Arabidopsis thaliana: one gene and its partner. The protein of the gene in region 1 interacts with the protein of each later gene in a pairwise test. Each region holds a gene or a part of one and is shown on either strand. Other genes may lie near its edges.

What was found.
Region 2: the proteins of AT2G39440 (region 1) and AT4G20325 interact in a two-hybrid assay, tested with the Arabidopsis thaliana proteins (one study listed by BioGRID).

What each region holds. Positions count from the first base shown.
Region 1 is NC_003071.7:16,467,127-16,471,286, forward strand, and holds AT2G39440 (ribonuclease H2 subunit C-like protein), read right to left. Parts: upstream 2,503-4,160; 5' UTR 2,371-2,502; exon of another isoform or gene 2,191-2,370; intron 2,022-2,190; 5' UTR 1,988-2,021; coding exon 1,849-1,987; intron 1,753-1,848; coding exon 1,660-1,752; intron 1,440-1,659; coding exon 1,249-1,439; intron 1,160-1,248; coding exon 1,094-1,159; 3' UTR 704-1,093; downstream 1-703. Other genes in the region: AT2G39445 (Phosphatidylinositol N-acetylglucosaminyltransferase, GPI19/PIG-P subunit), read right to left, coding at 2,899-3,026, 3,243-3,644, 3,984-3,999.
Region 2 is NC_003075.7:10,978,107-10,983,350, reverse strand, and holds AT4G20325 (ribonuclease H2 subunit B), read right to left. Parts: upstream 3,611-5,244; 5' UTR 3,462-3,610; intron 3,263-3,461; 5' UTR 3,228-3,262; coding exon 3,170-3,227; intron 2,851-3,169; coding exon 2,791-2,850; intron 2,689-2,790; coding exon 2,587-2,688; intron 2,489-2,586; coding exon 2,412-2,488; intron 2,314-2,411; coding exon 2,190-2,313; intron 1,988-2,189; coding exon 1,923-1,987; intron 1,724-1,922; coding exon of another isoform or gene 1,715-1,723; exon of another isoform or gene 1,569-1,714; coding exon 1,499-1,568; intron 1,400-1,498; coding exon 1,324-1,399; intron 1,223-1,323; coding exon 1,129-1,222; intron 1,033-1,128; coding exon 925-1,032; 3' UTR 705-924; downstream 1-704. Other genes in the region: AT4G20330 (Transcription initiation factor TFIIE, beta subunit), read left to right, coding at 318-668; AT4G20320 (CTP synthase family protein), read right to left, coding at 4,353-4,525, 4,624-4,717, 4,790-4,870, 4,971-5,019, 5,113-5,198.

The DNA of each region.
Region 1 (4,160 bases):
TATTTTTAGATTTTGTTTTATTTTAATTTATGTGGTACAGTCACCTGAAGAATGACCCGCTTTCTCCAATCTGCTAGAAGATGACCCGCTTTCTCCAATCTGCTAGAAGATCTTGGAGTCTTACGCGTTTCTTTCTCCCTTTTCTCGCTTTCCCTTATCTCTCGCTCATGTAATGTTAGAGCGGACTGCTTAACTCGCTCTTCTAGATTTTTATTTTCTGAAGTTACCTTTGTAAATACTTTTCCTCTTAATTGGGTAACCAATTATGGAGTTTCTTTTTAATTAATGTATGGTTGAAAGAAAAAAAAAATATTTTGTTTTATTTGGAAACTGAATAATAGAACCACATAGATAATTTGACCCAAAACAGAAGAAGATAGAATAGACAAAAATGAGAAACCTACATATTGAAAAGTCACTAAAAAGACAACTATATCATTGCTCATATATGCATTTTAAACTTAGATTTAATTTAGGGATTATTCACTAAGATCTGATTACAATTATATCTTATTACCTTAGTATACAAAATTATCTATTATGAAAATTCAATGGATTGCATTGACTTTGTTCTGATGACAATTACAATCATAAAATTGAATAATATAAACCGATTAGGTTAAAAATTTACAAGAAAAGAATAAGAAATTACAAAAATATGTATTTGGAAACAAGTAAAAAACTAAAACTAAAATAGACTAATATTTTCTTCTAATTTCATTTCCAAAAATCATAATCATAGCAGAAAATATAATAGCTTATCAAATATACTCCACAACATATTTGTTCACCTTTGGTTTTCGAAGATTTTTCAAATCATAAAACAGACCAAAAAACACTCATGGAGGAGAGTCTTAGACCAGAGATAAAAATTCCAATGCTTGTAATGACTGTTATTAAAGGAAATTGAACTGATTTCTCTAAAGAATAATATGATTTTCATTTCTTATAAAAAACAGCTTACAGAAGAAATACATGATCCAGGCTCGAACAAGCCTGAAGCCAACAAGCCTTGAGAATTTCATGTCATAGATCACTTACTTGCTAGTTTCACAAGATGTTTTGTTCAAAACCCGAAACGGTAATTGCCACTTCATATTTTATTCTTTCCACCATGTGAAACTGCAACCAAGTCTTCAACTTTCACTGGTTTATGCAGCTGCAGACAAACCATTGTTCTCCATCAAGTTAGGAACAGAAAAACTTATGAGCTAAGCCAACAAGAGATGGATGGAACTATACACTCACCGCTTCTGCAATGCTAAACCAATGAAAAGAGCGAAAGAAAGTATCGTCCTTTGAAGGAAGACTATCGTGATTCCAGTATGTCAGGTTATTGAATTTCGCCTTCACTTCCCAACACTGGTTATCTTCTGTGGGCATAGAAGCTTTTCTCTTTCCATTAGCATTCAAGTTACTCGCTTGTCTAAGCACAAAGCCTGAACATGTCAAACACAAACGAATTGTCAATAACCAAAACATAAAATTCTTCAACACCATAATGATACCAATAGTAGCAGATTCTTCAGGACATGTCAAAACTCTCTAACTAAAATCTCCATCAACAGGAATGTGTAACATTCATCCAATCATACTTTGATAAACATCCGTAAGAAATCAAAAGTTTGCAACTTTTTCTCAGTAAGAAAAAAAAGGTACCAGAATAGCCACTAGGGAGTGAGATAGTTGCTCCCTGCAACTTCCTTCCTCTGAAATGAGCTTCTTCCGTTTTTACTCCATCGATTTCAACATCTACAAATTCAACAGCTTTCCACATTAATCTCACTATAGAATACAACACATAAGTGAAAACCAGAAATACATAAACATACAAGTGTTGTTTGTTACCGCTAGATTTAGGCTTGAAATAGTGGGAAACTTCAACAGGACCATCAAATCTAATGCAGCAAGGGAGCTGGTGAACTTGACTGCTGAGATCCACAATGGAGTTTTCATCTGCAGCAGCTCTAAAGTCTATGGTTCCCATCAGAGCCCACTTGTATCAATTCCTCAGATTCCTTCTATACCATAATTAGCCAAAGTTAACAATTTGGACAATGGTTAAATCCCAAACCCATAAAACACTAGTCAAATTGGTATGAGCAATCGTCTTATAACAGTAGAAAATAACCTAATCTACCAAAATTTGATTCTCTGTTATATCAATCCATAAAGTATCAATTTTGCTACCTCGAAGATCATAGTCAAATGAACCCAGGAGAGAAATATCCCTCCAGTCCCAGATTTTGAGTTTTAGTTCGAACAAAACTCGAAAATTTGGTGACGAGAATTAAACTCTACCAATACAGAAGAGTAGAGAAGAAGAAGCAAATAAAACGGAAATCACAAAATGCCAAACACAAGTCTTACATTACAAAATCAAGCAAAAGCGCACGACGGAGATTGAGAGAATTGGTCTCTGAGAGAAAACTGCTAATTTGTGGTTTTCCCAAGGTGGGTTCTAAAATGGTCTGAATGTTTGATTTTTTTTTTTTTTTCACTGAATGTTTGATTATATTTACTTATATTTATACTGAAACAATTTAAATTATTTCTCTTAAACACATTTTTTTTTTATGGTTAGTGTTTTTCTTGATAGATTATTGTACTTCATTTTCGGACATCCAGGCTTGTAAAAAAAAGCATGCATAAGTTTTTATATAATCATGTTTTACGGGTCAATTACCAAACTTGAGTTTCTCTTGATGATTTCTACTGGTAATGGTTGACATATAAGAAGAAAGATAGTGCAGGATCCATCACTGGACTGGAGATAATCATTAATCACAATCTCCTTTTACACGTGATCACTCTACTAGTCACTAAAACCTGAATCCATTTACTAATGAGAGTAATGGCTTAGTCAATATGGTTACTACCTCTAGAGAATTTGAAATTTTAATCACTTGAATTGAACATAAGATCATTTATTCTTGTAATATCAATGTCAGAGATTGGATCTATAGGCCTGTCTTCACCTTCCTCCATCCCAGCAGCAAATTCACCAGGTTCTCTACTGTACTCATCTGCCATACCAAACAAACAAACATAACTAGAATTATCATCCTAAGCAAACTCCCAAAACCACGCCCTGCAGATCCAACATTTCGAAGCATTCTAGCTCTAGCTATTGTAATGACACAGCGAGCACTTACTTGAGAAAACAGATTTTTAGGAAACAATTTCTCATATCTCCAATAACATCAGATGAGAGGAAATTAAAGAGCGGTGCGGGCACTCACCAAACAAGGTATTGAGAGAGGTTGGGGGTGGAGTGGCGATGAAGTTGAGACCAATGTAAAAAGCCAAAGCTAACATCAGAGTCACCATCAAATACGTTGGCATAGCCAATACCCAATACCTACTAGGGTAGTAATGGATTCCTATAGACTCCAACAACTTATCTGGAACATATGCCCATACCAAGAAGATGACTGTGGCAACAACAGTCGATATCGATCCTACGAAACCGTACACCTCTGAGGGTTTAGGTCCATGCACTTCTGATGCTCTAAATGAAGATGACCTTCTACTGTCTGTATCTTGGAAACCAGGCTTTTGCTTATTTCTCTTCGAGAAGCTTAAAACTCGTCTTGGACTACTCACTGAATGAGCTTCTTCAATGTTTTGGTCAAAGGAAGAGACTGAGAAATGAAAGAAAGATAATCAGTTGTTGGTTTTTCTCTCCTTGTCTGCTGTAACTAGATATCAATTATGAAGATTGTAAATAGATTCTGTACAGATCAAGATAGACCAATTTGAAGGACTACATATAAACGAATTAAAATGAAAACTTTATTAACCTCACTTAGTGGAAGCTAATGAGGACGATATTGAAACTAATCACCTAACGAAACATGATTGAAAACATTAATCTAGACCAGTTAAATAGCGTCTCCATCAAAACTAAAGACTAATGGTAGAAGATTCAAATCCATCACGTTCTAGTGAGATTCAAGGGGTTATCAATGAAAAGATCGTACCTTTAGCCGGAGACATGGCTCGAAATGATTCTTCACACTAGAAATCTGTCTCAGGAAAACGAAAATCAGTTAAGGATCGGACAAAAGAAATGTAGGGAGATATCGAGAGACAGATTGCAGAATCGAGACACGAACCTGGAGAGGTGAAGCAGCTGAGACTCAAACTACTTTGTTGGG
Region 2 (5,244 bases), on another chromosome or scaffold:
TTATAATTGGCAAGACACAAAGATGACAGAAATGTATCCCGTAGATTCTTGGTAGCAATTCTGATATGAATGGTGGCATGAGAAATGAAAGTTCTCTAAGCATTGGTTTTTGGTTGGACAATCAATTAGACAGCTTATTTCTAGGTGGAGTATGACTGAAAACCATACCGGGATCCTGTCTTATATTGTGTTTTCTGCGGCGTCAAAAGTTGTAGGAACTGCTGTATTTTGCTAAGCAGATGGGGAAAATATATGTTACTCTTTGAAACCAAACCAGGAAGGTATTGAAAGTTTCAAGACTGTCTTGTATTTTGCAGGCTCTGAGTGCTTCAGGGGACATCTACTTGCTATCAAATTCACAAGAGGACATTGCATACCCAAATGATTTCAAGTGTGAGATTAAGGTTGATGACGAATTTAAAGCTCTATTCCGTGACATAAACATCCCGAACGACATGCTGGACGTGGAGAAGGAGCTGCTGAAAATCGGTTTGAAGCCGGCGACAAACACTGCAGAGAGGAGAGCTGCTGCACAGACGCATGGCATATCGAATAAACCAAAGGATAAGAAGAAGAAGAAACAAGAGATCAGCAAGAGAACCAAACTCACCAATGCCCATCTTCCCGAGCTTTTCCAGAACCTTAACGGCAGCAGTTCCCGGAACTGAACCTCATAAATGGATGATCATGCGGTTCTAAATTCATATTGAGCCTGAATTTTCTTGTAATTGTAATAATTGTTACAATCTTTAGTTTACAAATTACAATGATTCTCATGTATTCTCACGACATTTGCTAGAAATATAGAATAAACACATTTGGGAGTTGGGTCTTTGTTCAAGATGTTATAGCTAAGCGAAGATCATCCGATAGCATAATAGAATAATCATAAATAGTTGGCTAGTTTTAACCGATTTTGAACATTCAGCATTTTTTCTTACAAGCCCTTGAAAACATATCCCTTATGTTCTTTGATCCAGTCTCTACCTTTGCTTGCTTTGTCTGTTTTCCTGGCTTCTTATTCGCTTTCTCCTAACAAATGTAAACAAGGACAGTTAGTAACCAAGAACAAGGAACACAAATATATGGAACTTAGAACTCTTGCCTACAGTTTTTGCATACACACACCTGTATTGAATTTGATGATGCCATGTTATTCTCATTTGCAGTTGGAAGATTCTCCATATTGGTTTCTTTCATCGTCGGGTCAACAAATTTGAGTCTGTAAAATAAACCAGACAAAATGAATGCTTCTGTCAGGAGCTATATGATTCGCTTTAGCTGATTGGTTGAAGATTTCATATTTTAATTTTGAAAAAGTACCCAAGATGATCATATAGAAGCTTCAACCAAGGCTCGGTCTTCAGGTACTCTCCTACAATTGAGACGGAATCTACCACTGTACAGATTAAAGGTGATATCAGTGAAAAGACATGTCATATCACCTCTTTAAGGGTCAACTTCAAGCAAGTAAAATGATCTCTGTTCTAGGACTTACATGTTTGTTTCTCATCTTGAGCTGCATAGTTTTTGTCCAATTCCGGTAGAGAATTCTTTAAACAGTAGATCTGCGTTCATAAAAGTGCAGGCACGTTAAGGATCTAAATAAAACAGATACGAGCTTACTTGCATTCTCTTTTCTTCAAATCCATGCAGAAAGACAAGAATTATAGAATGCCAAACAAAAAACAATTAGAGTGCAGGCAGCATTAAATCAGCTTCTCTGCAAATAAATAATTTTCGTTAGGCAATACCCAAAAAGATATATAAGCATTAGACATGCCTCATCCCTGAAACATATGTGATGCACAAAACATAGTGATTCAGACCCATGTATCACTTTCAAATGGCGAATATATCATGAAAATTTCAACTGGATTGTAGAGAAGACTGTAATAAATAATCTTCTGACAAGAGCATACCTTACAACTTAACCAAGCTAAGACTTTCGAGTTATCAAGCCGATAGAACTTCATCGATCCAACCTCTGCAAGAAGAGAACAAGAGAATGAGGAAATTGAACAACTAGAGATCACCAAGCTCTTCAAGAGTGATGAGAAACATACAGATAATATGCATATAAGAAGGATTAAAAAATTCTACAAGAAGAAAGACCAGGAAATCTGAAAATTATGGTTTCGATAAGTGTGTGCAACTATGACTTCCATAACTAAACAGTGGGAATGTACCTTGAGTTTGACAAACGATTTCCATACACTTCTCTGCAAGTGACAACAAATGTTGATATCCAGGATATCCTTCCACAAATAAAATCTCATCTAGTTGCCTGAACTTTCCAGAATTTTCACCTTTCTACAGATCGACAATTTAAGAACACTATCAACATTTCTGAGAAATGGAAATCAGACAGGACATAATGAATTGAGAAGAGCAAAGGATCATAGAGTGACCTTCATTCTTGCTTCGTCGAAAATAGGCAACAATATGAAAACAGGATCAACTGGAGTGGCCATATATAAGCTTCCATCTGTAAATAGTAAACCGTCATGAACATAAGGAATATAATATTTGTATAAACATTGATGCTGGCTCACATATTATTATGATTCGAAATTTAGCATTTACCTTCAGATATGTAATCTCCCAAGAACCAAGAACCATAAGATTGCTTAAACCACTGAAGTTCTTGAAGCATCTCATTATTAAAAAGGAAGCATGTTCCATTTTCTGGCATAGAAGCAAAGATACCAAACCACAAAAGATGTTACTAGCTGAAGTTTTCCCCAAAACACAACATAGCAAGCCTGACAATCATCAACATCCCATTACCTGATTTTGGATGGCGGAGTGTTAACAGTTCTCCGGGTTTGTTTCCGCCACAACCTGAATCTTTACATATGAAGCAAAAAAATGGTCAAGTTCTTCTTTAAAGCATCTAAGACTTCCAACTATCATAGCCAAGGAAAGATTCAACTTTAAATAGTCATCAGCACATCCTTTCAATTATGATGAGTATATCTATTTAACGAACTAAACAGTCTACATAAGCTTACCGGATATAACTAAAGCTCATTTCTTATTCAAATCTAACTTCGCCAATCATTGATATATAAACATTGACCAACATTTTTCATAGACATTCATACACCATTGCAGCATCTAATTTGCAAATCCGTCTCAGAACAGAATGTATAGTTAAAGAGAGAACCTGGGGCTATGAGAACTCGTGTCTTCTCAGCTCCTTCCCACCAAACAGTAGAACTCATCTTCAAGCTTTAGCAAACCTAAATTTCTACGAATTCTGACACCAATAAGACAAAAGTCCCAAGGAAGGGTTAAAGAGCCATAATTCAGCCGAGCCAAGTACAAGCTATATCAAACTCATAGAAGACGATACTCTTTCCTAAAACTGAAGTAAACTTTACAAAAGCCTAAAACGAGAGCTAGGCGAGAAAAGATTGAAGATTACGACAACCCTTAACACCAATTAGGTAGCATACCGTGACGACGGCAAGAAGGCTCGCAATTAGTGAGGTAAATGAATCAGGACGAAATCTCTGTAAGACATTTCATCGAACAGTTGGTGTACAATATTCAACCCCAAAAGATTTGGATCAAACAGAGAAGCGACGATTATATTCACCAGATTGGCGCCATAACCGAAGTAGCGCGCGCATTTAAATATGGGCCTGCGCTATCACCAAAAAAGACTAGGCCCATAACAACTTAAAAAGAAACGCCCGCTTAAGTCTCAAACGCTTTGTTTGAGTTGGTTTAGTCTCTTCGCTAAGAAACTAGACATTTTTAGCACGACAAGTCCAACGGATTAAACAAAACCGTCGAGAAACTTGCATTTTCACCAACTTCAAGAAAGGACATACAACAAGACCTTCTAGAGATGCACCATTTTGTGAAATCAAAACACAAGTAAAAAGAGAACTAGTTTTATAACCATTCAAATAACAGAGAAAAGGCTACATTAACATACAGAGAAATCAAACTATGTACCGGAAAAACATCGGTACTTCTCTGGAAATGTTTAAACCATAACAACCCAAAAAAAAAAAAGAGCAAAAGGAAAAAGCTACTGATTAATACTACTACATAAGAATCTAAGAAACACAGCAACGGAGACAGAGAGTCAATCCCAAGACTCTCTTTAAATACTACCCATTACAAAAGACAAAGGTAATATATGTTTTAATGCTGCTTGTGCTTAGTGTTCATCTTCTACTTCATAATCTTAAGAAAAGCATCTCATAAAAAGCCAATCTTCAAACTGTACAAACTCATTGCCTTCTCTCTCCCTCCACAGGTGAAGAAATCCATGTTAAAAATTCCGGATAAATAGCTTTTTTAGAGAGAAGTCATTGTTGATGCAGATACGGTGTTCACGAGTAGACACGATCACATAAACTGTACACAACACTGACTGGCTTCTTCGCTGCACCTTTCCAGTAAACTCTCTCTAGTTTTCCGTTGGGTAGAGAACGTGGAACGACGGTTTCTTGGTAGCTTTGTAGCAGAACAGTGTCTAGTTCTCCACTAGCTGCTCCAATTAGTCCTGCAATTTTTAATTCAAAAAAAGGTTTTAGTTAAGGTATGTGCTTACACGAAGAAAGAAACCGAGGGCTTTTGCATTATTTTTATGTTTCTCTTCACCTAGAAACAGAGGAGATGGTTTTCCGGGTCTTGATTTGTACTCGGGATGGAACTGAGCTCCGACGTAAAACGGATGGTTAGGCAGTTCAATGATCTGTATTTTCAAATGTCAAGAATTATAATCAAGAAGATGAAATTTTTTGTGGTGTAAAAGATCCGTTTTTACCTCCATTCGCTGCCCTGTCTCGTCTTTTCCTGTGAATGTGAGTCCAGAGCTCTCAAAACGTGGAACCATGGCTGGATTCACCTGTAAGAAAGCATCTTGTTTTAGCTTAAAATGTCAAAGAGATGCGTTTTTTTTGTATACTCTGAGAGCTGCCACAAAACTGTGTCGGATGCTTAAATACCTCATATCTGTGTCGGTGTCTTTCATCTACAAAACTTTTGTTCCCATATCTGAAACATTCAAACGCATCATAATATATAGGTTAAGCTCAAAGATGCATAAAGATGAAACTCTTTTGGGTGGAGAAAGAACTTCGTGCTTACAGTCTTGCTGATTTGGAGTCCTTAGAATGAAAATAAGTTCTTCTTGAGCCTAACCTCATAGTGCCTCCCATATGCGTTTTCGACCCCTGCTTCAAACAAAAATTACACGGAATATAATCGCGACTTATATAG